Caenorhabditis elegans: one gene and its partners. The protein of the gene in region 1 interacts with the protein of each later gene in a pairwise test. Each region holds a gene or a part of one and is shown in the gene's direction. Other genes may lie near its edges. The genes, in order: meg-4, klc-1, R07B7.2 and atz-1.

Region 1 (8,813 bases):
GTCACCGGACACCAATCTCAAAAATTATTTGTGAAAAGCTTTGTTGTATCAAGGGTATTCTTAATATATAATCAAAATAATAAATCACTCAAAGTATCTCATTTAAAAATCACCAATAAGCTAAATCGAGCCTACTTGTGCGCTACGGCCATTCGGATTTTTGAGTGTCTTGTGTTCTGTGCGGATGTAGGTGGTGATAACTATCAAGTATTATATGTCGTTAAGTTTGTTTTTTTCTAACCAATAAAATGTGTATATTCACTTCTTTTGCTCGCTGTCCAAAAAAAAGTTACAGTGCCCCAAAGTGGTCGCCATAATTATGGACCACCCTGTGAAAGTTTTAGTTTCAATTTGGAGAGTGTTGAGTTTTCAACTCATTGGAAAACGATTTTAAATGTTTAAAGTTGTAGTTAATAAAGTGTTCAAAACCACACGAATGGTGCCAGAATGACCGAATATAATAATGTAAAACTTTTCACAAAAAAAGTTTGAAAGTTGTCAAAAAATGACAGTTACTCAGTTGATAAATTGGAATTGCTGGTAAAGCCAACCGACAGCCGACCGACAAATTTTCGTCTGATAGAAAATTTATAGGATAGTAAAAATTTTAGCAGAGCTCGCTGTACCAGCTGAAAGCCGAAAAAATCAGTCAGCCGCACACTCCTATTCAATTTTTTTTTTTGTTTGTTTTAAGTTCAAATTCCACTCGGATTTCAATGGTTACTTAACTGTTATTTTACGTTCTCGGTGAAAACATTGTAAATGAGAAGCAAGAATGAGATACCATTGAATGAAAAACAAAAAATTAAAACAAAAAAGTGAGCAATAAGTGTTGTATATTTACGTATCATGATAAAAAATTCAAAAAAATTTTCTAGATTTTATATGATTTTTTTGAAAATTGCAAAAATCTCAGTTTTCCCCTAATTCCTATTTGAATTTCCGCCAATTGAATTCGTTCGCTGGAGCACACTTGCATTATTTTTATTAATTTATTATATTGTTTCTCATTATTTCACTGATTTTCTTCATTCTTTGTGTATTTTTATCGGAAAAAGAGAGAAAAATTCAAGATAAATGCAAATTATTTATTTAAAAATCACTGAAAATGGGTAAAACTGTAAAATTATGAGTTCCGACGATAGCAAGCCTGAAATTAGCTTATTTCACAGTTTCACCCATTCTCAGTTATTTTTAAATAAATAATTTGCATTTATCTTCTCTCTTGTTTTCCGATAAAAATACACAAAGAATGAAGAAAATCAGTGTAATAATGAGAAAAAATAAAATAAATTAATAAAAATAATGCAAGTGCGCTCCAGCGAACGAATTCATTCGGCGGAAATTCGAATAGGAATTAGAGGAAAACTGAGATTTTTGCAATTTTCAAAAAATCATATGAAATCTAGAAAATTTTTTATCATGATATTCGGTCATTGTGGTAACATAGGCGTGTTTTAAAACAATTTCCCCATTTCGAATTTGAACTCATTATAAATACTTGCTTGGCAGTTTGGGAATTTTGGTTACAACGCATATAGAGACTTTGGAAAAGTCTCAATATTTTATAAGAAAAGCCACTCTAGAGAGATCAATTGAAAATAAAAAATAAAAAAGATCCTTTGTATGCTGCTTGCAGCTTCTCCGGCGATCGATTTCATATAATTCATTAGTGACTAGGGGTGGCAAGAGTGCGACCTAGGTCGCTAGGTCGCTGTTTTCATTTAGGTCGCATTGCGACCTGCGACCTAGCGACCTGCGACCTAGCGATCTGGGTTGCATTGCGACCTGCGACCTAGCGACCTGGGTCGCATTGCGACCTGCGACCTAGCGACCTAGGTCGCATTGCGACCTGAATTACCGACATTTTGTTCTCTTTCGGTTTTGATTCACTTGAGTTGTTAAAATCCGTATAACTCGAAAACTGCATTGCGACCTGAATTACCGACAATTTTTATACTAACAAATTGCTACAAATCATTTATTTTACATTGTTTTCGATTTCTCATCCATAAGACACCTTGTCGAAAAAAGTTAGAACAGCCGACATCCGCCGGATTTGCTGCTTTTTTCTACGTTTTTAATTCGAAAAGTGGAAAATGAAATTTTAGAAACAACAAAAACCACAAAAACGTGAACTTTTTGAAAAAATTTGCTGAAATGCATGGTTTTATTTGTAGAAATGAATTCTTTGTTCCGTACTTTTGAAAAAAAACTACGCATAAACTTATAAAATCTTAATAGAGAAAATGTTAGTGGAATATATCATACATATTCTGCAATCTTTAGTTTTCGAGTTATACGGATTTTAACAACTCAAGTGAATCAAAACCGAAAGAGAACAAAATGTCGGTAATTCAGGTCGCGATGCGACCTAGGTCGCTAGGTCGCAGGTCGCAAAGCGACCCAGGTCGCTAGGTCGCAGGTCGCAAAGCGACCCAGGTCGCTAGGTCGCAGGTCGCAATGCGACCTAGGTCGCGATGCGACCTAACCCTCTAGGTCGCAGGTCGACCTAGGTCGACCTATAGCCACCCCTATTAGTGACTCATGCTTCCGGGGGGTGCATGGCTCAGTGCCTATGCGCGCTGCTTGCAATCACAAGGTCACAAGTTCGACCCCCACCTCCTAGGTCCTTCCAGCCTTAAATGGGAATTCAGTGTTCGTTCCACTGTCTTACAGCTTACATACGGCATTTATCCAGGCAAGACCTGTAGAAAAAAACCAAAAAAAAAAAAAAAAAAAAATTTTGCCACGTGGGGCAACCTGGCAGTATTTAATGATTTCATTTTGGTATTGAAACATGAGACAGTCTAGAAAATTAATTGGCAGAAGTTATCGACCACAGTCCTCAAGATTTTCATTTGATCCCACGTGGCAAACTGTTTGAGTTTTCTTCATTTTTTCTTTGTGTCATAATTTGAAATTTTACTTGCCACATTTTCAGACATTTTTCCGTAAAGAAAATTGGCTGCTCACTTGGAAACGCTGAAATTAGTCTAAAAATCGATAATTCAGTATTAATTTTAACTTACTTTACTGAAACATTACTGAAAAATGTATGAAACTGTGAAAAATTAAAGTTTTAAGTTTTAAATCAAAGAAAATATTAAGAAAAATGTCAAAGATCAGGTCAATAATTTGCGCTGGAATTGAAAAATAATTCGGCCCTTTTTTTTTGCAAAATTGAAAAAAATCATAAAATTTCAAAGAAAATGTTCGGAATTTTTTTACAGTTTTATTCGATATTTACATTGAAACTCTATTTTGTCATTAAGGTACAAAAAACCCACAAACGCTACTCCACCTTTAAACTAACAAGTACACGGAACCAAAGATTTTTCCTTATTTTTCTTCTTCTCGTGTTTTATTCAGTGATTATCTTTCCGGTCACCAATATTCCAGAGAATTAACTATCAATATCCGACTTTTTACTCAACTGTTCCTCAAACCTCCAATACTCTTGAAAAACAGCCGGTACCATACAAACGTTTTGTGTTGTTTTGGTAATACCCCTGCCGCATTTTAACTGTGTTTTTGCCGCGCGCATGCATTCCCCTGACCGTTTCCCCACACACTATTTCGCGCTCTCTTTCTCTACCTCTCTCACTCTCTCACTTCTCGCACTCACTCACTCACAGGTCTCCATTCTTGCTTTTTGGTCCCACCGGTTTTCATTAATTCCTCTCTCCCTCATTATTTTCTTTACATTTTTACATTTTTACATTTTGTAATATTTCATTAAGTTTTTTTTGTTGCAGGTATGAGTTCTTCAAAGCTTTCCTCATGTGATCTGCCAAACTCCAGAGGAAACAGAGAAGGTAAGCATTTTTTAAATCAATTTTTTTCTTCAATTTGTAATTTCAGGTCACCGCTCTCATAGTCGAAGCAATTTGGAAAGTGCATCGAAAAATATGGGACACCACATTAGTATTGAAGAATTGTTTTATTCGTTCGTAAAGCAAGACGGTGTTCAGTCAACAAGCCGTGGATATGGTGGCAGATCTCACCACGGATCCGTGTCTTTTAACGGGAATCCTTCCATGAACGGCGACCAGTTGAATCACTCGATTAATCAATCGATGAATGCAGCTCGAGCTAACAGAAACGTCTTCAACTCATCGAGCATTCCTCCAACGGCCCCCGTGTTCTCTGCAGACTTCCGTCAAAACTCGCAGACACGCAATAACTCCAGCTGGAATCAACGGAACTTGTCAGTTTCCACTTATCAGTACAACACTCAGCAGTCAAATACAGGGCACAGTAGAAGCCGTCCGAATGGACAACTTGGCCGAAGCTTCTCGGATGGATCGAACAATCATGGCCATGCTGGGAATGTGTCATTCAGTGGGAGTTCCGTTCCAGCTGGGTTCCAGAAACAAGAAACCAAGGCTTACCAACAACTTCATGGAAATAAAAGCTTCAACGCTCAAGCTGGAGTTCAAGCTCCTGGAGATCACAAGGACAAGAGATATGGAGGCATGTTTGGAAATGAGCTTATCAATTCGATCAATTCTAGTTTTGGCCAACAGCATGATGTCTTCAAGCCGCGGAATTTGAACCAGAGCTTTTCCGGATTTACTATTAATGAAGCTTTAACAAGGAAGCATCATCAAGAAGGATCAAGAAACGATAGAAGAAGATCACATGGGAGCACTAATGTCCAGGATCGTGCTTTCTACAACACAGATGACAATGAACTGTCTGACGACGTGTTCATAGAAGATTCCAATGGTGTTGCAAACGGTCCAAAATCTGTCACTAACAAATCTCAACAACAGTCTCGCGGAACGAAGGATGCTGGCAGTCAAGTGGCGGAGAAACTGAACTCTTCCAGAGGAGCTGCTCAACGTAATCTGAAATCCAATGTGTTCAGCAAGGACGGCACCGAACTTTCTGTGGAACAGTTACTGGAAATTGTCAGCATGAAGATCGGACAACACTTGCACTCAGCTTCCAGTTCTCACGGAGAATGCAGCAATTTGAATCGGACATTACCAGCTAGAAGTGATCTAAATTGCTCAATTGGTGAAGACTTCGACTCCAGTTTTCTGGATGTAAACAATCGAACCCTGCCAGAAAATCTTTCGAAGAAAACTTCAGTGCAGAAACATCGTCGTGGAAGTTCTCGTAGTGCGTCCCGTCTCGCCAGTCTTGACGTGACGCTGGAGACTGTAGAAGAAGATGTCGAACCCACACCAAGTCCACATCCGAGTTCTCCTCCAAAGATCTCAAGAAGAAAGTGGACAGGAACTTTTGATGCCAACGTTGAGGAAATGAGACGTTTACTTCATGGGGACCCTGGGAAGCCGAAATCTACAAAACGTGCTTTCTCAAGGTATGTAGTGATAAAAAGTGAAGTATTTAGTAAAAGTTTGAATTTCAGCAAGGATCAGAGAACACCTTCCTTGTCAATCATCACAAGCCCGAAGGCTTTGATCGGAGAAAAATGTCTGACAGCATCCAACAAGTTAGTTTTACACTTGGAGCTGCTTTTTTCATTATGTTTGTATTGCAGGTCTTCAAAGATTGACAAGTCACTTGGCATGATTGATTCGAAACTCACAAAGTCACCAATGTACTCCGCCACGGTTTCTGGGAAGGAAGCAACTTCAGGAAACCGAATCGCTCGAAAGTTGACTCCAGGGCTTGATGGACTGAAAAGGTATGGAACTACAAAGAACAAACAACATTTTTAAATGTTCTTTTCCAGCTCTCATTGTACCGGAAATCCAGTTTCCATAGATTGTAATGGTTGCCCAACTCCGAAAAGAAGTGGAATCAATTGTGATAATCGTATGGCTGAAGTGAACAACCAAGCCGGGAGATGGTCCTCTGAAGCCACCAGGTAAGGCCCAAATCAATAAATTCGCAATGAGTTTCGTATTATATAAATTTCTGAATTCTCAAAAAATCGTGGATCAAACATATGGAAAATAATGTGCAAGTTGAGTAGATTGAGGTCAAGACTAGACCTCTCGAGTAAAAAAATAGAGCATTAATCTTGCACAACTCCGCAAAAAGCCCTCTGCTTTTGTCTATTGCCCAGAAGGTGTGCGGCAAATTTGTACGGTTTTGCCGAAACAACTTTGCCGAATTAGCCTAATTTGCCGTTTGCCGAGCTCAGACAATTTTGATCAAAGCTATGGATTTTGTCGCCAAAAATTTAGTAGTGCTCGGCAACTTTTGAGATTTTCCACACATCCCTGGAGCCCAGTCTAATCACTTGATATTATAATTACTAAACGGTGAATTGCGAGCCCGCTAATAAATTTAATTTCCTCAGAATATATAAATTTTTGCCGCACAGCTTGATTCGATTTCTGTAACATACTTTCCAAGTACAATTAATTTTTTTTTCAGTCAGCCTGCCCCACTCCCTTGCAAGTCAGCCAACCCGACCGAAGATTCTTCTCAAGATGCACCTCCAACTTCACCACCACCTCGTATTTCTGATAGCTTGACGGCATTCCTGGAAGCTCAACAAGACTTCAATGATTATATTGATGCTCACTACAAAGAGAAGACACAACTCTTGAAAGTGAATTTGAATATTCACGGGATGTCACCTGAAAGATGGCTGTACTTGAATTATTTTTGCACCGAGACAATTCCAAGATTGGATGGTCCTTATGCCGATGGTAAGAAAGATAAGACATATTTAATCTTGAAAAACGTAAATTTTTTCAGATCCAAGGGTTCCACCTGTGCGAAATATATTCAGAAGATGGTTTCTCCGGTTTGCTGAAGCCTGCTTAGGAAATCCAAATGACCTTGCAGTTCAGAAAGATATTGCTCTCGAGTTCGTTCAGGCTCGGCTTGACGATACGAGCAGCTCCACAGATTCCACCAATATGCTCTACATGTTGTGGAAGGAGTGTATCGGACAGAAGAATATCATCTCAATTGCTGATGCGTGTCTCCTTGTATATCTTCGGAAATCGGATCCTGTCAGATACTTGAATGCAAAACGAGAATGGCTGGAATCTATTTTTGACCCACCCAGAGATCAATGATTGTACTGATATATATCTATTTCATGTCGAGTATTTTGTATTTTATTCTTGTTCATTGACCTTTTAACCACTCTTTTTATACTCCAACTTGCTCCTTCTTGTGAATTTATTTATGGTCTGCCCAGGAACTTGTAACGGGTAGTTTTCTATTGTTATCAGGACTGCTGCTCATTCAAAATTCAAAGTTGAATTTCAATAAAGCGAATGTTTGAAATAGGTATATAATTGGCAACTGATTAGTAGAAATATGTCTCTTCTTTGGCTTTTTGTAAAAGTTAGGCAAAAAAGTGGTCACGGATTCAATTTCAAAAGCGATGCTTCAGACTTATCCGCTACGATAGCGAAGGTTCCGTTTGTACTGAAAAACACAGTAGAGGAAATTGGTATAGGCGCGTATAAATAGAATTCTAGTAGTTGACTCTGAAATATAAAAAGTTATTAACAATCCAAATTGGCAATTACTGATTATAAGGATAGGAATGTTAAGTTTTCTTAATACTACTAGATACTACCCTCTACATTTTTATTGATAGGCATGCCTACTTGCCTGCCTAACTTCATTTGAAGGTCTTCTCTTTGAACGTCCACTTGCGCCATTTCCCGCCTTAAACTTGTTGTGTTTTCCTTGGATGGCTATTTGACTAGCGATTTCAGCTTTCAAGAATGAAAACAATGTTAAGTGCTGGCCTTAGATATCCAGTGTTTCCTGTGAAATTTCATTTCAGTGGCAGCATGCCAGACCAAATCCAAAAAAACCAAAGGGGAAATTGTTAAAAACTACTCCTATGATCCCAAAATGACAAATTATCATAGTCAAAATTTTCTAGAATATCGCTTACATCCGAAGCCTAAGCCTACGCCAAGGCCTAAGCCAAATCATAGGCCTACGCATAGGCCTAAGCCTAAGCCTGATGAAATAAAACAGTATAGTTTCATTTAAATGAAACACCAGAACCATCAAAAACACTTGATTTTTTTTCAAATTTTTTTTAAACTAAAATATTTTTAAAGTTCGAAGGAAAACTGTTTAGCATCTTTTTCTTTTTGTGTGTCACTCTACATTAATATAAAATTTTATTGCAGTCCGCTACACACTTTTTCATTGTTTTTGTTTCTCTGCTCCTCTACTTTCTTATCAAAATTTTTTCCCGGAGGTATCATTTGGTCTTCCTGCGGCGGCTTGTGTGGCTGGCACCACCATTTTTTTCTGGATTAAAACAAATTAAAAAAATTTATGTATTGTATGTGTGGTGAGTTTTAAAGTTATATTAGTTTCAAGAAGCTAATTTTCATTACTTTCAGAAATTTAATTTCTGCTATCCGCACCCCGAATGTCTACAAAAAATCTTCTGACTCAAGATGGTAAATTGGTGAGTTTTTGTATCAAAAAAGTTTCGAAAACCTTCAGAAATTAATTTCAGAGTAAGAATCGGCAAGTCGAGGAGAAAAATATCTTTAATGCAAATCCCACATTGTAAGTGCTTTTCTCGAAAATCTATAATAACATGGAATAAGGTTATGGAATAATGTATACATTAGATACATAGTAGCGTCCTATAAAAATACCAAACTGCCAAAAAATATTAAAAATTTTGAAACTTCGGTCTAATTAAAAGATATCAAGCAGATAAACGCTTAAGATTAGCCCAAAACTGAAACATTTCAATTTTGAACAATCGTTAGCTAATTAAAAACTACAAGCATTAAACCGACTCCAAAATACCATTAAAAAAGCTCACGAGAATTGCGCCAGTAGCCTTCTTGGATCATTTCCAAGTAGGAGCCTATGTCATAATAATA
Region 2 (7,348 bases), on another chromosome or scaffold:
AGATGCTTCCGTTTGAATTGATGTTCGGATGATAAATTCGAGTGGTGAAGGCAACCTGAAGAAAACAAATTAAATTTATTTTTTTCCAATTTCGATCAATACCTTTGGTGGTTTGAATGGATAGTCTGTTGGGAAGTGGATAGTGAGGAAGAAGACACCTCCCTGATAGGGAGACTCTGGTGGGCCCATAATCGTAGCTTGCCAATGGAACAAATCATCACCAACTGGTCCAGCGGAGCATTGTGCGGGTGGATCACGGCCGAGATCTTGGAGTTCCTGAAACGTACATAATAATTTTATTGTTGTTAAGTGTTGAAACCTTACCTTCTGGATTCTTTTGAGAGCCATGTTGGTGTTCTGATTTGCTGATTGACCCGGCTACACCCGGAGTACTCTGAAAATAAATTTCGATAAATACGGTGAAATTGAGCTTCTGCTATAGGGAAAAATTGAAAGTGAGGATTTTCGCATGAAATAACATAAAGAGTACGGCGCGGCGCGGCGAAAAATCGATATTTAGAGGCGGTACAAAGTACTCAGTTTGCCCTTCGTGGTGAACTGTTACGTCACATTTCGAAACTAGTGGAACATTCTAGAAAGCGAAAAATGAGGAAAAATAGAACAGATATAAATTTGAAAACCAAAATAACATAAATTTCGGAAATTTCCTAATAAAATAACTAACGATGAGAAATGATGACAAATATGACACATTTTTACGGCTACAAGCCAGTGACACTCGAAAAAAATTTTAACGCTTAAAAGAAATGGACTGGAATATTACGCACAAAAAGCAAGCGATTCAAATCTTGTAAAATTTTCTTCACAATGAATCGAGACTGGGCAAAAATTAAAATTCAAGACGTATCACAAATTGTCTGGTTAGTTTTTTAAAAAACTATTCGGCATGTACGTATTATTTTCTGATTGAAACAAATGATTTCCAGATAATCACTCTGAAATCGACTAAAGACACGCGACTTGTCGCCTCACGAGATGGTGAGGAAGGAAGAAATGGCCATAGGCTGCGAGTGAGTGAGAATGTGTGCTGTCTGTGAGTGAAAATGAGCGACGGGGTGAGCGCTGAAGTGTCAGAACGACAGAGACAGAAATAACACAGGAAACGTAAGAGGGTACGAGGCAACGATCGATACGCAGCGCCATGGGTCTTGAGACGACCATCACACTCACTGCAATGCTGCAGTCGCATCGCAATGGGGATTGAAAGCGGAGAGAAGTGAAACTATAAGCACTTAGACACGAAACGCAGAGAGGTAGAGATATCTAATGACAAAGCGAGAGAGTGAGAGAAGCAGTTGATCATGTGATTCCACTGATTCAATTCAGTGTGGACGTGAGTGAACTTGCACTTTTCTGATGGTTACTAGATGACTGAAATTTGAACGCGGAATTTATAAAATTTTAGGACGAATGAACTTGAGTGTGTTTTCTTATTTCGTGCTATATGAGTCACGTGGGACAACGAAAACAAAGAGGTATAAAATAGGCCAAATCATACTTCGGAAGTGACTTTAATTTTGAGAAATAAGTTTTGCAAAAATGTTGTTCAAATTATTGATCGAGCACTAAATTCCCTAATCACTACTCACATGTGGAGTTGAAGTTATTTTTAAAATACGAATTCAGCGAGGAAAACCTTTAAAAAATTGGAAACAAGTACAACAGAACGAACTACAGAAGTTGGAGCAGGAAGAAAAATAAGGAACATCGCAAACGAACTGAAAAGAAACTGAAGAAATTAGAAGAAAATGAGTAAGAATGATGGACCGCCCTTGTTTCACAATCTGTATTTTGCCGCGTTCGAAATGGCGCCAAGAGATATGGAAAGCTCTTCCAATCAAAAAATATTTTTAAATGGCATACTGCTTGTCTATCCCATATTACGTTGAAGGTATTAATAAAAACAACAAAAATTTTTTAGAAAACATTAAAATAATCGAAAATTCACATTAAATTACGAGAAATTGTTGTGCAAACTTGAAAACAGTTGTTCGAAAACCCGCCGATTGTCAGGCTGCTGGATCTCGTGCTACCGTAGTCGGCACACCTGCACATCTATCTCGTCGTCTTTTTGTTCAATTGAATTCAACGCATTGAAATATTTCATTTTCATGAAATTAAATTTCATAAATTTGGTTTTGTTTTGTGATTTGTTTTTATTGTTTTTATTGTTCTTAAATTTAAGAAAAATTAACGTTCATCATCCGTACGAGACAATTTTCAGGGCTTCTCATTCCTCTAACAGTGATGGTTATTTCCTTGGGTGACGATATCACAACTGTCTTAAAGACGGTCCAACAAACGTTGTTTGCATTGCGAGATGAACACGAGGCTGCAACAAGGATATTGGAAGCTAATTTAATTAGTAAGACGATTTACGGAATGAGTACGAATAAAGTTTCTATCAGATTCAGACTCATCCGAACCTTCTTTGCCCAGTGAAAAGATGGGCTTGATTGATGAAAGTCTTGGGAAAGTTATGGATGGTGGTGATGAAGCATCTCTGCTCATCATGATGGACAAATTGATGCAATCATACGATGTTCAACTGTCAAAAAACCATGAAAGTATTAGGCTTCTGAGACAGGAAAACACCTGGCTTCTTGATGAATTGACAACCACACAGAGGAAGCTTCAAGAATCGGAGAGGACTGTCGCGCATTTGGAGGAAGAAAGGGATCACTACAAGTTTCAAGATTCCATGAATTACCTGAACAGTGATTTTGTAAGTCATTTATCTTGTGATTGGGATTAAATAACGCGTTTAGCAACACACTACCTCCGTCGATGCCACGCCCATGATGGTAGACACTCTACAGGAACTTGGATTCGGACCAGAGGAAGAGGATCAGAACAACAGTAAGTTTATTTGTTGTGCTACGAATTATGCTTGTTTTATCTTGCAGATCAAGCCGATCAGGGATGTCGCTCATCGTCTTTTTCCAATCCTATCAGTAACGATTACCAATTACCGACTCGCCTGCAAACGTTACAAAACCTGGTCATACAGTACATGGAGCAAGGTCGATTTGAAGTTGCGATACCGCTATGCAAGCAAGCTCTGGAAGACGTCGTGAAAGTTCACGGGAATGTTCATCTGGATGTTGCTACGATGCTCAATGTTCTGGCAATAGTTTACCGAAATCAAGAAAATTTCAAAGATGCTGCGATCTATTTGGAAAAAGCTTTATCCATTCGTGTACAATGTTGTGGAGAGAACCATCATTCTGTGGCGGCAACGCTAAACAACTTGGCAATCGCTTATGGAAAACGCGGAAAGTACAAGGAGTCTGAGCCTTTGTGCAAACGAGCTCTCGAAATTCGGAAAAATCTTCTAGGACCCAATCATCCGGATGTTGCTAAACAGCTCACAAACCTCGGAATTGTCACCCAACAGCTTGAAAAGTATGAAGAAACAGAAAACTATTTCAAACAAGCTCTGTCAATCTATAATCGTGCATTTCCGGAAAATCATCAAAATGTGATTAAGACAAAAAACCAACTGGCGTCTGTTTTCTTAAAGCAAGGAAAGTATCAAGAGGCTGAAGAGATGTACAAGAACATTCTCTCGAAAGTTGCTATCACCGGAAACAAACCAATATGGAGAATCGCTGAAGATCGCGAAGAAAGACAGCGAAATGGGATTCCGAAGGTTGACGATGAATCCTTTAATGTGAACCCGACAACTGTGATGGATAGGTTATTGCCTTTAATTAGTTTATTAATGATTACATTGTTATGTTTCAGCAATGTGATGTCAACTATAAAGAATTTGGCAGCAGTTTATCGTAAGCAAGGAAAAGAGGAAGCTGCAGGGACGCTGGAAGAAGCTTTAGGTGCGAAAAAACAAATCAACGGAGGAGCAGATCACACTAATTCTACTGCCTCAAGTGTTGAAACTTCAAGCGCCGTAGCTATTAATCCTGCTCAAAGTGGGATCAAAAAGAGAATCATGCATTTTGTCGGATTAAATTTCTGATTTCACATCTTTTCGTGATAATTTAGTTGCCGATCCCCTCTTTACGTTTTCCATGTCGCATACTCAAAGCCTTATTTTTGATATTTATGTATGGTAAATTAATTCGTATTAAATAATTGATGAGTTAAATATAGAGTTGTTTTTCATGGAGAGCTAATGGAACTGTACGCTTTGAATAAAGTATTGTCTTTAAAGTCCAATTCGTATTCTATGTGAAAAAGAAAAGTTCATTATTGTTTAAGAATTAGTTGAAAAAACAGCAAATCATGGATTTATTAGGAAAACCGGTGAGATTTCACCCCGAAAATTATTGAATCGTCGAAAATATAGACTAGACTGCATATCCGTTAAGTCGAGCCGAGTCGCGGAGCTCTGGAAAAGTTGCCATGGAAATATTATAACGCTCATTTTGTTATTTTTCTGCTCATACTAGGCAGAGAAAAGAAAACGAACTCAAAATTGCGTGATGAATCTTTTTGCGGGCACCAATTGTGGAAACTCCAATGTCCTTCAGATTCTGCTCGTCGAGCAGCAAAAAAGCATGCATGTCGATCTAAAAATTATAAAATACTTTTATTCAAATGTGCATGAAACAAACTTCCTGATCTCTCAACTGAGTCATGTATTCACTGCATCCAAGTTGTGCAAGAACCATGGAAGGATCCGTGAAATAATTAATATCCCATTGTAGATTATATGGAAGTGAGTTCGAATCGAAAACCGACGTTGATGCAGAGAACACTTCAACTTTTGAAAATAAAACTTTAAAACCCTTGAGAATTCAAACCATTTCTAGGTGGTTGTTCAAAGATTCTAGACATTCCATAATTAGTGGATGAAGCTGAAAAATCAGAGAGCTCTTCATCTTCTTCTCGTACACTACAAAGTCCCCGTTGTGAATGATTCATCATTGGAGGACCATTTGTGGATGGCTACAAGTATTTGATCAAATTATGCAACTTATTATTTCATACTTACTTCATTAGTTGATAAATCCATCATTCCTTTAAGTAAATCAGCTGGAAGAGAAGAACTAAAACCATAACCTGACCATAAATCAGTTGGATATCTTGGACTTGATAGAACTGAATCATCAAAAATTGCCTGCGTTGCTTTTATAAGCATTTCTCCTCGATCGGCTTTCGATTTCTTTTTCCAAATATCGCTGAAAATTTAGATTTTTCTTGGTTTTCTTGGTTGGTCGAATGTCGAAGTTAGTCTTAATTCAATTAAGTTAATTACATCCTATCACTTGTGTAATATTTGCCTTTTAAATTTGAAGTATCGTCCGTGGGGAATAAATCTACATATTGTTTTCCTACTTCAAAATAACAGAATATCATAATAAATCACTACAACATTTTTTAGATTTGTCATAAAAACTTATTTAAAGTTTTGGTAAGTTACCAAACTTTCCAAAATTATGAACTTTGTGAGAAATGTCGAGCATTGCAGCATACGTTTTATATTGATATTTGGAAATTTGAGCTGAAAAGAAGCTGTTTCAAACAATTTTCCCCCAGACAATATTGTGACAAAAAAACAGAAAAACCAAACTATGCCGAGAAAAGCAGAAAAACCAAGATACGGTCTTATGGTAGAGATAATGTCCCTTAAATGCAATATGTGTAAAGTACCAAAAAATCTTAAAAGTTAAAAAGTAAAGGCCTTTTTGAAGTGATTTTTTTTTTGCATTTTTTCTTTTTCTATGTTCTTACTAATAGAATTGGCCGAATTAAAAACATTTTTTAAAAAGTCAAAAGTAGTTTGCCGCCCGTAACCTTCAGATTTTCCTTACCTATTTTTGCTAATATCCTTTGCTCCTTTCAAAATCGAAGCCGCGAGCGGAGAGTCCTCTGGATCTGGAGATTTTGGAGATTCAATGGGCGGAGTCAAAAATACTCGTACTCCAGATGCCATTTCAGTTTGCAAAGGTGTTAAACTAGGTGGTCCTGCAATTTATTATAAAAATTAAACATATGTTTATGTTCTCAAAAATGTTTCAAGTGAACTAACTGCTCATCACAGGATTCGGATCATAATCATCAGGAGATGAATATGTTGTTGGTGGTAGAGCTAACAGTAATTCACGAGATTGAAGAACTTCTGCTAATTTTGATTCTGTTGATTTCATTGTTATGGTCTGAAATATTCAATTTGATTTCCAAAATTGTAATCACCATAATCCATTAATCACCATAATATCCCCGTTTTTTCGTTTACACGTAACTTGTATTCCTCTTTCTTGTTCCAATTGTTGAACTGGATAATGAATATCCATCATATTACAATCAAATTGAACTGTCACACTTGAAAGACCCTTCAAAATTTTCTAAAGTTATCTACAATTTTTGAAATAAATTCTCTTACAATTAGTAATTTTCTAACATTTAATACTCCCGATGGAGGACCAACAATGGAAATTGATTGTGTTTCTGGAAATGTTTGAATGGTCACGTTGTTCTTGTTGCACACTTCTCGGAGCCTGAAATCAAAAATATTTGATATTGGTACAAATTTGTTCGCAAGTATAAATTTATTTGATTCAGTTCTCAAAAGCTTAAAATTGTTGTTAACTATTTAACTGGTCAATTTTTGAAATAATCCCCTGGGTAAACGCAGTCCAAAAAAACTTCAAAAACTTCCAAATTCCAAAATTCCAAAATTTTCAGGTGTTCAAAATTGCCAAAATTAAGTAAAAAATTCGAGAATTTCTAAAACCCCATAACTTTTAAATTGTGGAACTTTCAGAACTTTTGGACATTTTTTATTCCAAGTTTTCTGAATGTTCCAAAATCCAAAAAAATCCACCACTTTCTGAAAATTCAAAATTTCCCAAAATTTAGAATTTTTGAAACTTTGATATTAAATTTTCCGAAATTAAGAAATTTCGAAATTCTAAAAATTCCGTAAAAATAAAGTTTTGAAAACTTGCCATTTTACCGAATTTTGCCAAATTTTGAAACTTCATGGCAAACTTTTTTAAATAGCAAGTATGTGGGTTTCCAAAACATAAAAAACGATTGCATATTTATTTTATTAATTAACTTATTTATTTCTGTGCACAAAATCAAAATGTAAAGTAGGCAAGTTGGAATTTTTTTTGCCTACTTAAAAACCTCACATTCTTTCTTTGAAAATTTCCCACCACATTTTTTCCTGTAAATAAGTAATTTCAAAAAAGATTTACCTTTCCCGATGCTCCTCTACATTCTCCAATTGATAATTCAGTTCTTCTCTGGCCAAAACTTGAGTGGAAATGTTCAAATATTCTTCTGTCTGAAATAAATTAAAGTTATAAGATACTTCTTGAGAATTCATAAACTCACTAATAAAAAGTGATGTAAA
Region 3 (8,454 bases), on another chromosome or scaffold:
AATGTCACTTTTCAGTTAACTCTTTGGCGAATTTCTCGAAATCGTTGGTTTGTATGCTTTTTGATTGGAGTTTTCACTGGACTCGTCGCTGCATTTATTGATATTATGGTACACTACAGTAAAGATATCAAATTTAACTGGATTCTCAAATATTGTCAGTTATACTTATCTAACTAATCTATTGAAAACGAAACATTCAGTGCTCTCAAAGTGTGGCGAAGAGCAACGTGGAACGACTGCAGGGTGTATGTGGACCGTAATGATAGCTTGGATAGGATATAATTGTGTTCTCGTAACTATAGCTGCAATCCTTGTGATTTATGTAGCTCCGATTGCTGGAGGTTCTGGAATTCCTCAAATAAAGTGTTATCTTAACGGAATTGCGATTCCTGAGGTGTCATTTCCAGCTCAAAAATTTCTGAAACTTTCGTTTTTTCCAGGTTGTTCGTCTCAAAACGCTCGTTTCAAAAGCAGTTGGAGTTGCATGTTCGGTTGGCGGTGGTCTTTGTGCTGGAAAAGAAGGTCCTATGATCCATTCTGGAGCTGCTGTAGGAGCTGGGATATCACAGGGAAAAAGTTATTCCCTTGGAATCGATTTCGGACTTTTCCGCGAGTTTAGAAATGATCGAGAAAAAAGAGATTTCGTTTCTGCTGGTGCTGCTGCTGGAGTTGCTGCTGCTTTCGGAGCACCAATCGGAGGAGTTCTATTCTCTTTAGAAGAAGGAGCAAGCTTTTGGAATCAAGCTTTGACATGGAGAATGTTTTTCTCTGCAATGATCTCTTCATTCACTGTAAATTGGATTCTCAGTTGGTTCAATGGACGTAGTGGATGGCTCTCATGGACAGGTCTCGCGAATTTCGGAGTTTTCGAAAATAAGGATTATAATATTTGGGAAATTCCTTTGTTTCTTCTCATTGGAATAATTGGAGGCTGTCTTGGAGCTTTATTCAATTATTTAAATACAAAACTCACCGAGTTCCGTAAAAAATATGTGAGCAGCAAACTGGGTCGTTTGTTCGAATGTCTTCTTGTTGCCGCGGTATCAGGATTTCTTGCTTTCCTCACAATATTCGCAATTGACGATTGTCAGCCGATAGGAGCGAATCCTACAGCAACATCAACACAAATCAATCAAATGTGGTGCAAAAAAGGAGAATATTCTGCAGTAGCTTCTTTATTTTTTCAAAATCCTGAAGAAAGTGTGAAGAGTATGTTTCATAGTCCGATAAGTAAGTTTGATCTTTCAAAAACATTTAAGATCCAAATATTTTCAGATTCTTTTGGTGTCACAACTCTTGTTATTTTTGGAATTGAATATTTCTTGCTCACTCTCTGGACGTTCGGAATCTCTGTACCTTCTGGTGTCTTCATTCCAGCTATTCTTACTGGTGCAGCATGGGGCCGCCTGTTTGGAATTTTTGTTGAACGACTTTTCCCTTCGGTTACTGGAATTGATCCAGGAAAATACGCATTGGCAGGAGCTGCCGCACAACTCGGAGGCGTTGTTCGAATGACAATTTCATTAACAGCTATTATAATGGAAGCAACTAAAGATATTACATTTGGATTACCTATTATGTTGGTGTTGATGGTAACAAAATGGGTTGGAGATATGTTCAATGAAGGACTTTATGATGCTCATATTGATTTAGCAGAAGTTCCAATTCTTGGTTGGAATCCACCAAAGATGAGCAGAAACATTTTGGCAGAGTTGGTTTTTTTGTTGTAACAATTCGAAAATCTTTTTTTAATTTTCAGCCGCGTGATGCGAAAAGATGTTGTGGCTCTAGAACGGCGAGAAAGAGTATCCAGAATCGTTGAAATTCTTCGTTCCACACTTCATCATGGCTTTCCAGTAGTAGATAGAATCGAAGAATCGCCATACGAATCACTCCCTGATTATGGACGCCTGAAAGGTTATATTCTGCGATCACAACTGTTCAAACTTCTGGAAAATCGAATTTTCGAGGAAGAAGGAGCTTCAAACTCTGCACTTCCAAATGATTTTTATGAATGCCAGGATGACGACGAGTAAGTGATTTATATTGAATAAAATACGAATTTTAAAACAGAAATTGTTTGGTATTCAACATACTACGAAAATATTATAATTCAATTGTTATATATTTTATTTTCAGCCAAATGAAATCTGTTGCTGAACTCGGATTAACAAATTTCGACGAGTCATGTTTCCTGGACATTGAGCCCTACATGCATCCTCATCCGCACCGTGTTCCACTGAACACATCTCTTCCATTCATTTTCCGACTTTTCCGTGGACTTGGACTTCGATACCTTTTTGTGGTGAACGATGATAATCATGTGAGGACGAACATTATCCAAATTTATTTTTTAGTATTGTTTTTCAGCTTCGTGGTGTGATTACTAGAAAAGATGTTGCCAGATTCCGTGAAAGACGCCGAAACCGCGAGTATCATGTTGATGAACTTTATATTTCTGAATCTTAAATGTTCTTATTCTCTTTCATGTTCTACCATTGCCATTTTGAAAACGTGTTTTTTAAGTCATGGAAATGCACAGAGAGTTTAAAAAATATGTTTGCGTTTAGCAAGATGTCGTTTGGTCTCTTTTGGGAAATAAACTGAAAAACTGAAATTTCGTTTGAAAAAATAAATCGCAACACTACGTTGCAAAATGTGAACTTATTTTGAAATTTTCTGTTCATGTCATAGACACTTTCTTAACAATTTTATTCTGTGATAAATCTTAATCGGTACGTTTGTCTAATGTGTTTTCCGGTATTTAATTTCATTAATTATACTCTCTAGAAGGCGTGAAATAATACCATTATGATTTTATAGACAATTATAATTTTATAAAGGAGCATCGGTAATTAGGATGTACAGAAACACAATATAATTTTTAAAAAGGGTTGAAAGTAAACTTTTTTCAAAATTTAGGTATTATTGAGCCAAAGATCGCATTCGTAAACTCTACAATACCTAAATTATGATGCGAACTAATGCAGGAAAACAGACCAGGACTTTTGTGTATTTAAATATGTTTTGAAAAACGAAATGGGTTACTGTAGCCGAGGTAAAAGTACGCAGAGTTGCGTCATATCCGTTGTAAATAATTCGCCAAACGAAAATTATTTTCTAAATTAGTTTTTAGGAACATTTTTGTTTGGAATTTTGTATGAAACCATTTCACAAACCCTCATTTGATTTTTAATAAATTAATAATCATTATAACGCTTCAGATGAGTGCTTCTGACGGTGATAACACAGAACAAACTGGACGACGTCGCAGTTTTGGGAACTTGTTTGGATCAACACGTGTGCCTTTTTCCTCACTTTCCGATATTTATGCAAATCAAAGTACGTTCGCAAAAGATCAAGGAGTACAATCTGAAGTCGACGTTGCTGATGCCTGGAGCCAACATCACGCTCCAACAAGAGATCAATATGTCCAATCAGAAATTATCACGGCTGTGGAAACTTCAAGCCAATACGAGGTTCAAACAAAGGATAAGGAGGTGGAAGCCATTTGTTCAACGGCGAACAGAACAACACAAACTTGTCATGCAACCAATATCGCCGGTACAAATTCAGAATCTTGTTTAATCGAAAAATTGGCAAATTCACTTTTGGAACATCTTCAAGCTCGCCGGCCCATCAAAGCTCGGACAGCATTTCCAATTTATCTCCAGCAACCTGAACAACTCCAGTTGCTTCCTCCACCAGATCAGCAATCCGCGCCTGTGCCGCCGAGTCATCCGTTGCAAAATTCTGAAGGTAACCCACTTTAATATTCGAACTTTTTCCCATATTTTAATTCGTCCTACGCTCAGGTGCATACATTGAAAATAGGAACATCTCTTGTATATGTCCGCAAAATATTGAAAATATTTCTAATACTCATCATAAAATTAAATTTAAGCTCGTCAAGAGGATCTCGAACAAACTGAAATGCCACAAGCTTCGCAACAAATTGGAATTAATGAGACCAGTCTCAATGATGCCGATTCTCAATCGTTTTTCCATTCGAGACTTCATCAAACGGAACAGAGAGAAGGTATAATTGGCAATAGAGCTTACTAATATAAAATAAATCAATTATTTTGAGAGTAGTAATTTACAGAAACAAACTCAAACAGCATGCAGTCAATTCATTCACAGGTTAATCCACCAGCAAGTCAAGAAACAATGGAAAGTCATTTCCCTGAAATGATCAATTCTCGTAAGTCAGACCATCAACTTTGCTTCTCGTTTAAAAAAGTAACTTCAGAGCGATGCTCATCATTCCCAACTCGACATGATGGATCTTCGCATTTTGCTCGTTCATCATCTGGCTTGCTCGGAAGTATGTCTTCACAGCAACAACGGTCCCAATTTCCTGTTCCCCAAGAAGAAGGAAATCAGGCTGAAGACATGCGAGGGGCTCAGCAACCACATAATGCTAGAAATTTGTTTGGAGGTGAAATATTTTATATTAAAAATGCACTTGGCTCTGTTCAGTTTCGTGTTCGGCTAAACTTATTCTAACAGACAATGAAGAAATTCAAAATTTGTCTTCCACTGCCACCAGAAATCAGTGAATTCAATAATTTTATGAATTGACCAGCCGTGGACCGCACCTCCGGCGCGGCTCCCGACCTCTTGGAGCTAAAAACTAATGTTTCTGAAACTACCGTAATCATGCAGTACTCCTACCGTATCACTATTGTACCACTACAGTAACCCGACTATATCCTTACACTAACCTCAACTCACTATCCCTCCAGAAGCTAAAATTTCGCAGACTACAAAGACTACATAGACTACAAACTATGGACAAACGGAATAAGCGCTTTATATATATATATATATTAGTAAATGATAGTAATTAATTAATTTTCAGGGGTCGGAGGGATGTTTCCATCAATGCCGAATTCCTCGGGAGGACAGGGACCCGATTGGCAAAATAATCATTTCATTCGCCCATTCGGTCAACCTGCGGCTGGCATGATGAGTTGGCATCCAGGAATGATGCCATCTCGTGAGTATAAATTTTGACTACCTCTAATTATAGTCAATTAAACTACTTATGAGAAATTACACGTTTTAGATATGAATAACTCCGCGGCTCCATCTTCTTTTTTTGAATCTCCGTTCATGCCGCCATATGATGTTTTTATGCAGCAGCAGATGCTTCTACACTCTCAATACGGTTCGCTCAATTTCTGCAACTTATAGTAAAGGTATATGTTACAATTTCAGCGGCGTGGGAGCAACAACGGAATCATGCAATGATGTATCAAAATGCACAAAATCAAAATTCGGCGAATGTAAATCCTTCATTTGCCGATATCCCTTCTGCAGCGCCGATTTCTCAGCCAGAAGTCAATGTTAATGAAAACCAAATCGTTCCCGAAGAAACCGAAAGGCTTGAGGCTGATCTTGAAATCGAGAATACTGTCGATGCGATCATCGGTAATAAAAGTATAAATTACGACCTAACATAACATAACATAATATAACAGTAACAGATGTTGGATCCGTCAACCAAGCTGTATCTGGAGTCAATTCGATTGCTCGAGAAACAGAGGAAATCAATAATCAAGATGTGCGAAATGAGACACCAGTGGAAGATTTCGGATCCATAATATCAGCGATTTCTATAACTGAAAATAGAAACGAGTCTCCAATGCCAAGCGCATCTGAAACCGGTGAGGATCGAACACCAGTTGTTTAAATATAGGTTACACAATGTACACCAGGGATGTGTGGGATCTGGCTTTTTCGGCGAACGGAATTCGTCGTTTGTCGCTCAGTCCTGATGCGCCAAGTTATTTCTATATTATTTTATTTCTATTTTTCAGATGACACATCTCCACATACCTCGCGCTCAAGATATGGATCTTCTGTTGCCATTTCCACCGGTATGAAAAGAGCACGACTCGAACCATCACAATCTCCACCGGGCTCATCTCGCAAAAATTCAAGGAATGAGACGACCAAGAAAAATTCAAAAACTCCTTCTTCTACAATTGATAAAGAACCTACTTCATCAAAGAGGACAAGAAAAGGTATTATTGATTTCGAATTTATGTAAATAACCTTTATAAATTAACTACGTTTTTCAGCTCCAGCGCGCTACGAAGCGGAATGGAACGCCGAACAAGGAGGCGATACTCGTCGTGCAAAAAGGTGGTCAAAAGACTTCTATAAGGCTCCCAGTAAAAAGTAGATTTAATTTTTGAATAGGTAATAGTAAACTTTATTGTTTTTTGTTCATCATTCGTTGCCCATTGTTTCACCGATTTAAAAACGCGATTTCTCAAATCTCATTAATGTTTCCCTTTTTATTGCCAGATGTCTGGAAACCTAATGTTCCTTCTCCATTTTCTATGGTTTCTCTTGTTTTTTTTAAGTTTTTTTCTCATAATAAAGTTTTTTTCAAGCTCTGTCGTCCAAAGTAGTCTAGGTGTTCAGTGGAATTATTGAATGTAAGTTTCAGCGTCTTCAAGGGACATTGAGTGGGAATGGGGGAAGTGTTGGGTTACTGGTGCTGCGTTTGTATTAGAAATCAGAAAGTAAATTGAACGAAGAACAATTGTTTATTGGGTGAAATGTTCGGAATATAAATTTAATTTCGACATTAATCTATATACATAACCGTAATATTTAATTCTTTTTTCGAATTAATCAAGCAAATTGATGTTTCTTTTTCTCTTCTTCAATCGTCTCTCGTGTGACAAATGTGAATGATTGTGGTTTATCAGTTGCCATTGGAAAGAATAAAATATTGGCAATAAACATAAGTAAACCATTGAGAATATATACATGACCCCATTGAGTATGAGATGATTCATCTGATACAAATATGGCAACTGTTGCTGGAGCAGCAAATAAGGCAATACATTTCATAAATTGAATCATCGCAAGCACAAAGTGAGCATATTGACTGAAATTTGTTTATGGATAATTGCATGGTTTTCAGAATAATTTACAGTGAATTCATAATTTTCAGTGTTTAAATTTTTGGATTTGGACACAGTTGGAGTATCACCACTTAGGATTTTGTCTGAATGCACTCAAAATACTCAGAATTACCAAATTTCCTAGTTTTGGAAAATTACCAAAATAAAAAAGAGCTTTTGAAAAAATCCAAAGCAATTTCACAGGTTTCAACCCTTATTATATTCAAATAAAAGTTATTTGGCATTTTCTAAAGATTCTGTCATCCATTTGCAGTGATTACAGGATGTCTCATTACGGATTGATCTACAAAAAATGCGGGAATTCATTTTCCAATAAAATTTCACGGGCAAACCCTCATTTACTAGCGTGCTCATTTACTTGAAACGTCAGCACGCTTCTAATCATGCGGAATCAGTTTAGAAGTCTGCTTTTTAATACCGAAATTTTCGTAGACCTAGATCAAGCCGATATGGGACCCTCTGACACCACATGCGGTTGAAGAGAAAACTCGTAATACTTCGACCGCGAAATCATTTGTCCTAATTTTGGTAGAGTATTCTAAAGTTACAAATATGTAGGAAAACGTTAAGGAAACAATTTTTGTACAGTTAAAATTTTAAGTTTTGAAATTAAACCCACTTTTGTCATTCAAAAAATCACTACGATCATGGTATGAGTACGGTTGGGGTGAAACAAAATCAAAGCTTACCGTGACGCAAATGTTCCACATTTATAAAATCCACCACAATTTGTTCCCATCAAAGTGTAGACAATACTGAACATAATAACACTTGTATACTTCCATGAGACAGGAATATATGCCAAACTGACACACATGAATCCAGCAAGTCCGACTGATGAAGTATTGAAGAACCACATTCGAACACGTTCAGAAAGGAATTGACGATCTGATAACCATCCAGATAAGAGTTTAGCTGGCATATGAGCTACTGCCGACAAGGATATCAACATTCCAGTTTCGACAACACTAAAGTCAAGGACTTTACGGAAATATATAGGAGAATAGGTCAATAGAAGAATCAAAGTAGTCATTTCAAAGAAAGAGTTGATCCAAACAGTCAAAATAACTCGATTCTTGCAAATTTCCCAATACGGAACAAACGAATCCCTCTCAATATGTGCTTTTGTTTTATCTTTTTGAATAGTTGTCAACTCTTTTGCTGACACTTTTTGGTTCAATTGTGGATCATCATTATAAAAATAGAGCCATGCAGCAAAAATGATAAAACCAGCAGCTGCGTGAACATAGAATGCAGACTGCCATCCATATGACGATTTACACAACTGAAAGAAACAAAACAGTCTAGAGATTATCTTCATGTCCAGTTACCCAGCCAGATGCGGCATTTGTCATCACTGTGGCTGCTGGGCTGAAACTTGTTAGAATTGAAATAAAGAGTCCGGTTTGAGCAAGTGGAGCCCATCGGACACATACAATTCCAATAGCTGCAAAGTCGGCGGAATAAGCAAGACCCTGAAAAAATTAATGAAATTTTTATAAAACTT
Region 4 (6,684 bases), on another chromosome or scaffold:
ATTCGAGTGCTGTTCTAATCTTAGCAAATTACAATTCCATAGACTATTATTTTCAGATGCACTTTTCCTAGAACATACAAAAATTGGACGACTCTCGTTTTGTTATCAATAAAATTGATTTGTGGTTTCAGTATTGCTTCTCGTGATAGATAACAAGCGCCTGGAAAGAAGTGTTAAAAAGTTCTAGAGCCACAATTTGATACCAAAAATGTTTTATGTTTTGAGAGAGCAAGTTTGAGTTCAATTTATGTTAAAGTTTGAATTCCGGGAGCGAATACTTCTGAAATTCTGAATTTAAGTTTTTTTAGTCACATCTACATACATATCGAAAGCGAGGAAAAGCGATCTCTGAATGAACACAAACTCCGAACAAAGATGGAATCACATATTTCATTCAACATGTGGAAGAGCGGTATCAATTGACTGCAAATGTAATTTCTGGAGAATACCTGCCATACAAAAGTCAAAATCTGACCGTTTCCTATTTCAAACGATTGCATAATATATTTTTAATTTTTTACACATGTATGGAAGTTTAAATGAGTAAAGGAATCCATAAAATTTTTTAAACGGAAATTTCATGGCACCGAAAAAAATTTGTTAGGAAAATTATTTGCAAACATAAATCATTGGTTAACCTAAAAATAGGAAACGCCTAAGATTGGGTCATCAAATTAGAGTTTTGCGGTAGCAGTAGTGTATCTGACCTCTAGATCCAAAATGTTCCAACAAACAGTTGTTGGAAACCTTCCGTTTGATCGATCCACGTGGTTTTCTTCTGCCCATTTCCGGTGAATTCTTTTTAAAAATCTTTATAATCTTCTCATTTCGTATTTACTTTCATTTTGAACTGTTCACTGATAACGAATTTGTCCCAATCAGAAGGTAATCAGAAATGGAATCAACTCCATGAATTGAGAAAAATGCGATGGGTACAGAAAGCAGTGGAGTTTCTGCAGGAAATGTTCAATTGAAAATAAACGGGCGGTGCGAACTCGATTGGTCTTTAGATCAGCTAGAGGAGTATTTAAGGAACAATGCTACAGTTGGTTCAAAATTGGACAAACTTTTGTTATCGGAAAGGAAAGTATGTAAGGAAGACACTTTACATTACGGGAAGTTGACTACAGTAGTCTTTTACGAATATTTTTGCAAACAATTTTTATAAACATAATCGATCAGCAATTATTTAAAATTTCAGATGATTTCCATCTGGATTCTACTTATATCTCTGCTCCTCACTGTGAACAGCCGGACAATCGTAGTCTATAATAATAGATGCGTGGGCGGCAAAGTATTTAAATGTGGATGATGATTGGAGAAATGGAAAGATTTGGGCACGGACTGGATGTGATGGAGATTTCAATTGTGAGACTGGAACTTGTTTGGTGAGTTTTCCGTAGTTTGAATGTAACTTTTTTGAAGTCTATAGATCTATACTTTAACAGTGTATCATTTTGAAAGTATAAGTTTCTATGGAAGTTTTGAAACAAATAAACACTTGGGGATATTTGATCAAAACATTTTGAACAATTTTTTAAGTTCAGCCAAAAAATTGTGTAAAAGGGAAATACGAAAAAGTACTTTAGATGTTCTAGAATATCTGAAAGTCGTGAATTGTCAAGGACGTACATCATTTTTTTTTTGATGAATATTCCAAAATCTATTACCAAAATACATTTTCATTTTCGGGCAAATTTTTGGTCTTTTTTCTGTCAAACTCTGGGCACGTTTTACGGTCGTCGAAACTATATAATCTTTTTGCCAAATTTTTGCTACTTTCTGCCAAACTTTGGGCAAGCTTCTCAACAGTAAATGTTGACAGGAAGTTTCAAACGTTTCGCAGAATTCACACGCATATACTGAATAAGTTTCAAAACATCCGAAATTGGGAATACCCGAAGTCTTGAAAAAAAATGAAAAAGGTTTGAGAGTTTTACACTTTTTCCAGAACGCAGAACAATGCAATGGAAGGACAGGAACTCCACCCGCATCTGTCGCAGAATTCAATTTGAAATCTTGGGCTGGAAGAGACTTTTATGCAGTTAATCTAATCGATGGTTACAATCTCCCAATGTTAATTGATGGGTTGGGATGTCAAAGAGCCGGTGGATGCATCTCTGATGTAAATGCTGCATGCCCTACAGAACTTGCAGTGAAGAGTAGTTCAGGTTACACTGTTGGGTGTAAATCTGGATGTCTTGGATATGGAACTGATAAGGAATGCTGCCGTGGGGAGTATGATTCTCCAGATAAATGCACAATGAGCTCTACAACGAAGATGTTCAAGAATGCATGTCCAGGTGCATACACTTATCCATTTGACAACTCAACAATGTTCGTGTGCTTGAAACCTTCGTCGTATACCGTTCAATTTTGTTGAATTTTTGAATTTTTTACCAAAAACTTAACTGAAATTTCTAGATAATTTTTTTTTCGAATGAACTATTTTCGGTTTATTGAAAGTTTTTGATTCTTGCTTCACTGATAACATGAGAAAAAAGATACAGTTATCTGACCAATCAACTATTTAATTCGGCGTCTGTCATGCCAACTTTTTGGTTAATATTCACAAAAAAAAGTGTTGCAGAAAGTTTGTAGCAGAAAGAAAATGCCTAGAATACAAGTTGGTAATTGAAATTGGAATAATGTCTGTCACCTATTTTTGATTCAACGTTTGGTAAAAAGAGCTTCAGATATTGAAAACTAATGGAAACTTTGAACATGACACCTTTTTTTACCCAAAAAATGTAAAAATGCAAGAAAAATATATTAACTAAAGTTCTGACTATCAATGACCGTTCTTTAGGTTTCAAAAAATTAATCCAGATAATTTTCACAGCCACAGTTTAGGTAGTACTGCCATTTCTCTTGACAATGCATAACATTTTAGGTGGCCTTTTACAAATTTGAATATGCATTTAGCTCATCTAGTTCACTAATTACCCTTTTTAATGAAGTGTTTCATTCCAATAAACGTCTCCTATGACCTAATCTCCTTCCCTTCGAGACCATATAGAGAGAGAGAGAGAGAGCAAACATAGTATGTCAGACAATGATGACGTGTCTACCTCTTGGAAAGGTCAACTGCTACGGTAGATACCATCTATTAGCAGTGCTCCTCTTCTTGTCTCATTTCACTCGCACAGGTCCCTATCGACTGGTTGTCACCCTTTTTCTGTCTGTAATATTCAAATAATGGCTTCGATCGAACTCCGCAATGTGCAAACCGAGCTTGCCGCGAAGAACTTGCAATTCAAAGTGCTCACTGAAAAGTTTTTGGAGCAACGAAAAGAGCTTTTCGATGCGAAGAAGACTGATTCGAATGTCGAATATGTGGAATGTTTGAGTGAGAAATTGAGAGTTGCCACGGAAAGAATTTCGGATCTTGAAAAGGAGACGAAAGAAGGAAAACAAGTAGCAAATGAGGAAATTGGTCGATTGGAGAAACTTTTGAGGGAAGCACAGCAGAAAAGGGATGCGAAAATTGATGAGTGAGTTTTTAAGAATTTGAGTTCCTAAAATTTATCGAATTATTTTTTCAGGTCATATCAGACATTCTTGAGAATCGAATTACTTGTGGCTAACCTTGGTGAGAGCACAGATCCTGAGAATGAAAAACGGTGAGTTTCGGAGCCTACCCAAGTTAAAACGCAACGCCTCTAAAGTTGGGTCTCGTTAGGTATTGGCGAAGGCAAAATCAGAAATTCAAATTTTTTCAAGAGTTTTTCCACTATTTCTATGTCGAAACAAATCATGTAAAATACACGAGAAACCCTTATTCAAATGCATCTTTAAAGACCATTTCGACATTAAAATCGATAATAACAACAAAAACGTTTGAATTTACGAGTTTCCTGCCAATACCTAATGAGACCCATCATTGGAGCGCGCTTGTGCCTTGATGATTTCAAAAAACCATTTTTTGCGTCCCCATAATAACAAGCACAAATGCAAAAAGTAACACTTTTCAGAATCAAAAATTTGATGCCAGCAGCGAAAACTGGTATTCCACCAGAGGGTGTTTTGAGATTGACGATTAATGCATTGGACAGTGCTGCTAGAGAATCCAAGAAAAAGACGATGGCCATCGAGAGCCTCACGAAACAGGTCGACGATGCGAACAAGCTCACTGAAGTCTATATGAAACGGCTTGAAGAGCTGGAGGACAAGCATCGATTCGAAGAGGCGCTCACGTTGAAGATCCAGGCGATGATGATCGAGACGACGGGGCAGTTGGAAGCCCAGAAGAAGATCATTGCGGATCTTCAGAAGAAGAATGACGATCTTATGAAAGAAGAGGAAGGGGAAGAAGATTATGAAGAGGAGGAGAACTACGAGGTTGAAGAAGACTTTGAGGATGAGGAAGAGTATGATGAGGAGGGAGAAGAGGAAGATTACGAATAAAATACATACTAGTTTCTACTTTTTTATTTTACTGTTTGTTTTTTCCTTCGTTTCATAAATTTCCAAATGTCAAATCTTTTAAAGAAATAATTTCAAAAATTCAGTAAAAACAAAACGAAAATAACGCAAAATCAACAACAACAAAAAATAAAATTGATTATCCTTCTATTTGAGACGATCCAGAATGTGTTTCTTTTTCGGAGCCTCGTCATCCACTTCCGGTGCTTCAAAAACTTCCTTCTCCACCGCATGTTTCTCCATATTCCGTTCCATTCGAATCTGATCCTTGACAATATTCTTACGAGCCTCCATCTTCCAACCACTCTTCTTGCTGCGCATCTTGTGACGTGGCGTATATTGAACAGCCATCGGACGAATGTAGAGAATCTTCTTTCGTTCTTCCTCTTCCAACTCGAGAAGTCCCTCATTGACCTTGTTAATGTCGTCTGGGTTAAGACTGATGAGCTCCGGTTGAATCTGAAAATTAGAATTTAGTTAGCATTACAATTTTTGCAAAAATTTTTTTCGCTTGCCAAAGAAGGGTCTTCTAAATTGCTGTAGTATAAGAAAACTCCGAATTTTCCGTGGAAAACTTTTGTGAAATTTAGAACCAAGTAGTCTGAAATAAATTTTCAAAAAAAATCTCATTTTTTTCGAGATTGAACATAATTTTGTAACTAAAGTTTTCATGAAATATAGAGAAATCAAGATTTTTTTGGAGAAAATTTTTTAAAGGTTTCTTTTTTATTGGTGAGGTGCTTTCGATTTTCATGATAAAATCATAAAAAATAGAGTTTTTGACATCCAGACTTCAAATATCAAAATCGAATAAAATAAATTCCATACCTTATCCAACAATTGTTTGATTTCTCTTTCCTTTCTCTGTGATTTCGTTTCGTACGGATTAGATCTGAGCGTATCAACGTTCGGATCTCCTGCCCCTGGCACCAACATACTCGTGAATCCGCCTGCGTGTCCAATTCCGAGCACATCTTCCCATGGAACAAATCGTAAATCAGTGACCACACCTCCACAATTGTGCACCAAATACGGCTCTTTACACGTCCCATTATGCATTCCACGGAACACTTGTACATGGTTTCCAACTGCACAGGCAACGTTCATTTTTTGAGAAATTGCCACGTTCGACACTCCAAATGGTAGTGAATATGCATGAAGTTGACGGAACATTCGAACATCCCAAATACGACATTTCCTGTCGAGACCCGTGGTCGCCATATAATTTCCCTGATCATCAACAGCAATTCCTTTGACTGCGCTCAAATGAGTCAAAATCTTGACAAGTGGTTCTTTTGAGTTGGGAGACCACAAGGACACGGTTCCATTTGTGTGTCCAGTGTGAATAATGGCATTTGCCGGATTCTGACACATCACATCAAGAGTTCCAGATTTCGTTGCAAACGAGGCAACTTGTTTTCCAACAGACACATCCACGTAGTTAAGGAACGAATTTCGCGAAGAGCCGACGAGCAGAAAATGATGGGGAAGAAATTCGAGGCGAGCTGTGTCGTACATGGTTTTCAGGCAATGAAGTTCTGTACCCAAGTTGTCGTATACATAAGTATAGTTTTTTTGGGCGACTGCGATGAAGTTTTCCGTATGAAGAAATCTGAAATTAATCGTTGTTATTAATGTTTAACAAATGTAATTAAACGTGTAATTAGCATCCATATGTTCTAAAGCTACCGAATTTTTTACAAAATCATCTTGAAAATTTCCTTTTAACAAAATACGCTTTTATTAAGTTGATTGAGGTGCATTTTGCCCAAATTCGGTGGTATTGTGTGACTTATAGGCACAAAAAAGCACTTCAATCAGCGAAAAAAAGAGGTCTCAGCGTAAAACAGTTTTAGAAATTTGGACGCCATAACCTACTTCACATCGGAAACCTTCTCCATCACACTTTGCTCAAAATGAAGATGCTTGGTTTGCCAATCAAGTGCTGCCAAATGTCCTTTTCGTCCTCCAATCACTAAATGCCTTCCATTATCCGTATAATCAATGTGATATGGTCCGAATCGTGGCAATTTCAACTCGAAATGTTTTGTGGCTGCAGCCAAATCAACTGATTCAGCGATATCTTTCTGTCGGATGCTGTAGGTCAGCGAGTGATCCTCCTCGTCGGGGGCTACGAATCCGGTCTGAAATTATATTTTGTGAATATTTGAGTAGCAATGGAACAACTCACATTTTCAACAAGACGTTTCTCGGCTTTAGCGGTAGCTTCAATTCTTCTCTGAAACTTGTCCTTCGTCA

The links.
Region 2: the proteins of meg-4 (region 1) and klc-1 interact in a two-hybrid assay, tested with the Caenorhabditis elegans proteins (3 studies listed by BioGRID).
Region 3: the proteins of meg-4 (region 1) and R07B7.2 interact in a two-hybrid assay, tested with the Caenorhabditis elegans proteins (2 studies listed by BioGRID).
Region 4: the proteins of meg-4 (region 1) and atz-1 interact in a two-hybrid assay, tested with the Caenorhabditis elegans proteins (3 studies listed by BioGRID).

What each region holds. Positions count from the first base shown.
Region 1 is NC_003284.9:1,679,196-1,688,008, forward strand, and holds meg-4 (J domain-containing protein), read left to right. Parts: upstream 1-3,758; 5' UTR 3,759-3,760; coding exon 3,761-3,818; intron 3,819-3,864; coding exon 3,865-5,335; intron 5,336-5,383; coding exon 5,384-5,467; intron 5,468-5,515; coding exon 5,516-5,662; intron 5,663-5,710; coding exon 5,711-5,845; intron 5,846-6,360; coding exon 6,361-6,638; intron 6,639-6,687; coding exon 6,688-7,013; 3' UTR 7,014-7,224; downstream 7,225-8,813. Other genes in the region: C36C9.11 (Transposase), read left to right, coding at 8,345-8,383, 8,435-8,487.
Region 2 is NC_003282.8:11,081,860-11,089,207, forward strand, and holds klc-1 (Kinesin light chain), read left to right. Parts: upstream 1-1,875; coding exon 1,876-1,912; intron 1,913-2,245; coding exon 2,246-2,386; intron 2,387-2,429; coding exon 2,430-2,746; intron 2,747-2,789; coding exon 2,790-2,880; intron 2,881-2,927; coding exon 2,928-3,720; intron 3,721-3,768; coding exon 3,769-4,000; downstream 4,001-7,348. Other genes in the region: let-70 (Ubiquitin-conjugating enzyme E2 2), read right to left, coding at 1-55, 103-276, 325-348; bcc-1 (SAM domain-containing protein), read right to left, coding at 4,332-4,372, 4,454-4,553, 4,599-4,741, 4,788-4,932, 4,979-5,165, 5,799-5,952, 6,017-6,143, 6,198-6,320 and 3 more.
Region 3 is NC_003283.11:12,054,518-12,062,971, reverse strand, and holds R07B7.2 (PUM-HD domain-containing protein), read left to right. Parts: upstream 1-3,222; 5' UTR 3,223-3,224; coding exon 3,225-3,759; intron 3,760-3,904; coding exon 3,905-4,039; intron 4,040-4,105; coding exon 4,106-4,204; intron 4,205-4,252; coding exon 4,253-4,441; intron 4,442-4,864; coding exon 4,865-5,002; intron 5,003-5,071; coding exon 5,072-5,173; intron 5,174-5,223; coding exon 5,224-5,445; intron 5,446-5,486; coding exon 5,487-5,672; intron 5,673-5,825; coding exon 5,826-6,032; intron 6,033-6,089; coding exon 6,090-6,193; 3' UTR 6,194-6,410; downstream 6,411-8,454. Other genes in the region: clh-6 (Chloride channel protein), read left to right, coding at 16-154, 201-394, 441-1,230, 1,276-1,711, 1,760-2,032, 2,140-2,323, 2,371-2,469; F10C2.7 (Major facilitator superfamily (MFS) profile domain-containing protein), read right to left, coding at 6,652-6,910, 7,637-8,232, 8,279-8,422.
Region 4 is NC_003282.8:12,372,568-12,379,251, reverse strand, and holds atz-1 (Protein atz-1), read left to right. Parts: upstream 1-3,130; 5' UTR 3,131-3,198; coding exon 3,199-3,494; intron 3,495-3,545; coding exon 3,546-3,623; intron 3,624-3,974; coding exon 3,975-4,407; 3' UTR 4,408-4,571; downstream 4,572-6,684. Other genes in the region: wdr-46 (WD repeat-containing protein 46), read right to left, coding at 4,573-4,884, 5,254-6,037, 6,304-6,569, 6,617-6,684. UniProt on the Caenorhabditis elegans protein: Plays a role in meiosis, germline development and oocyte morphogenesis. May play a role in DNA replication.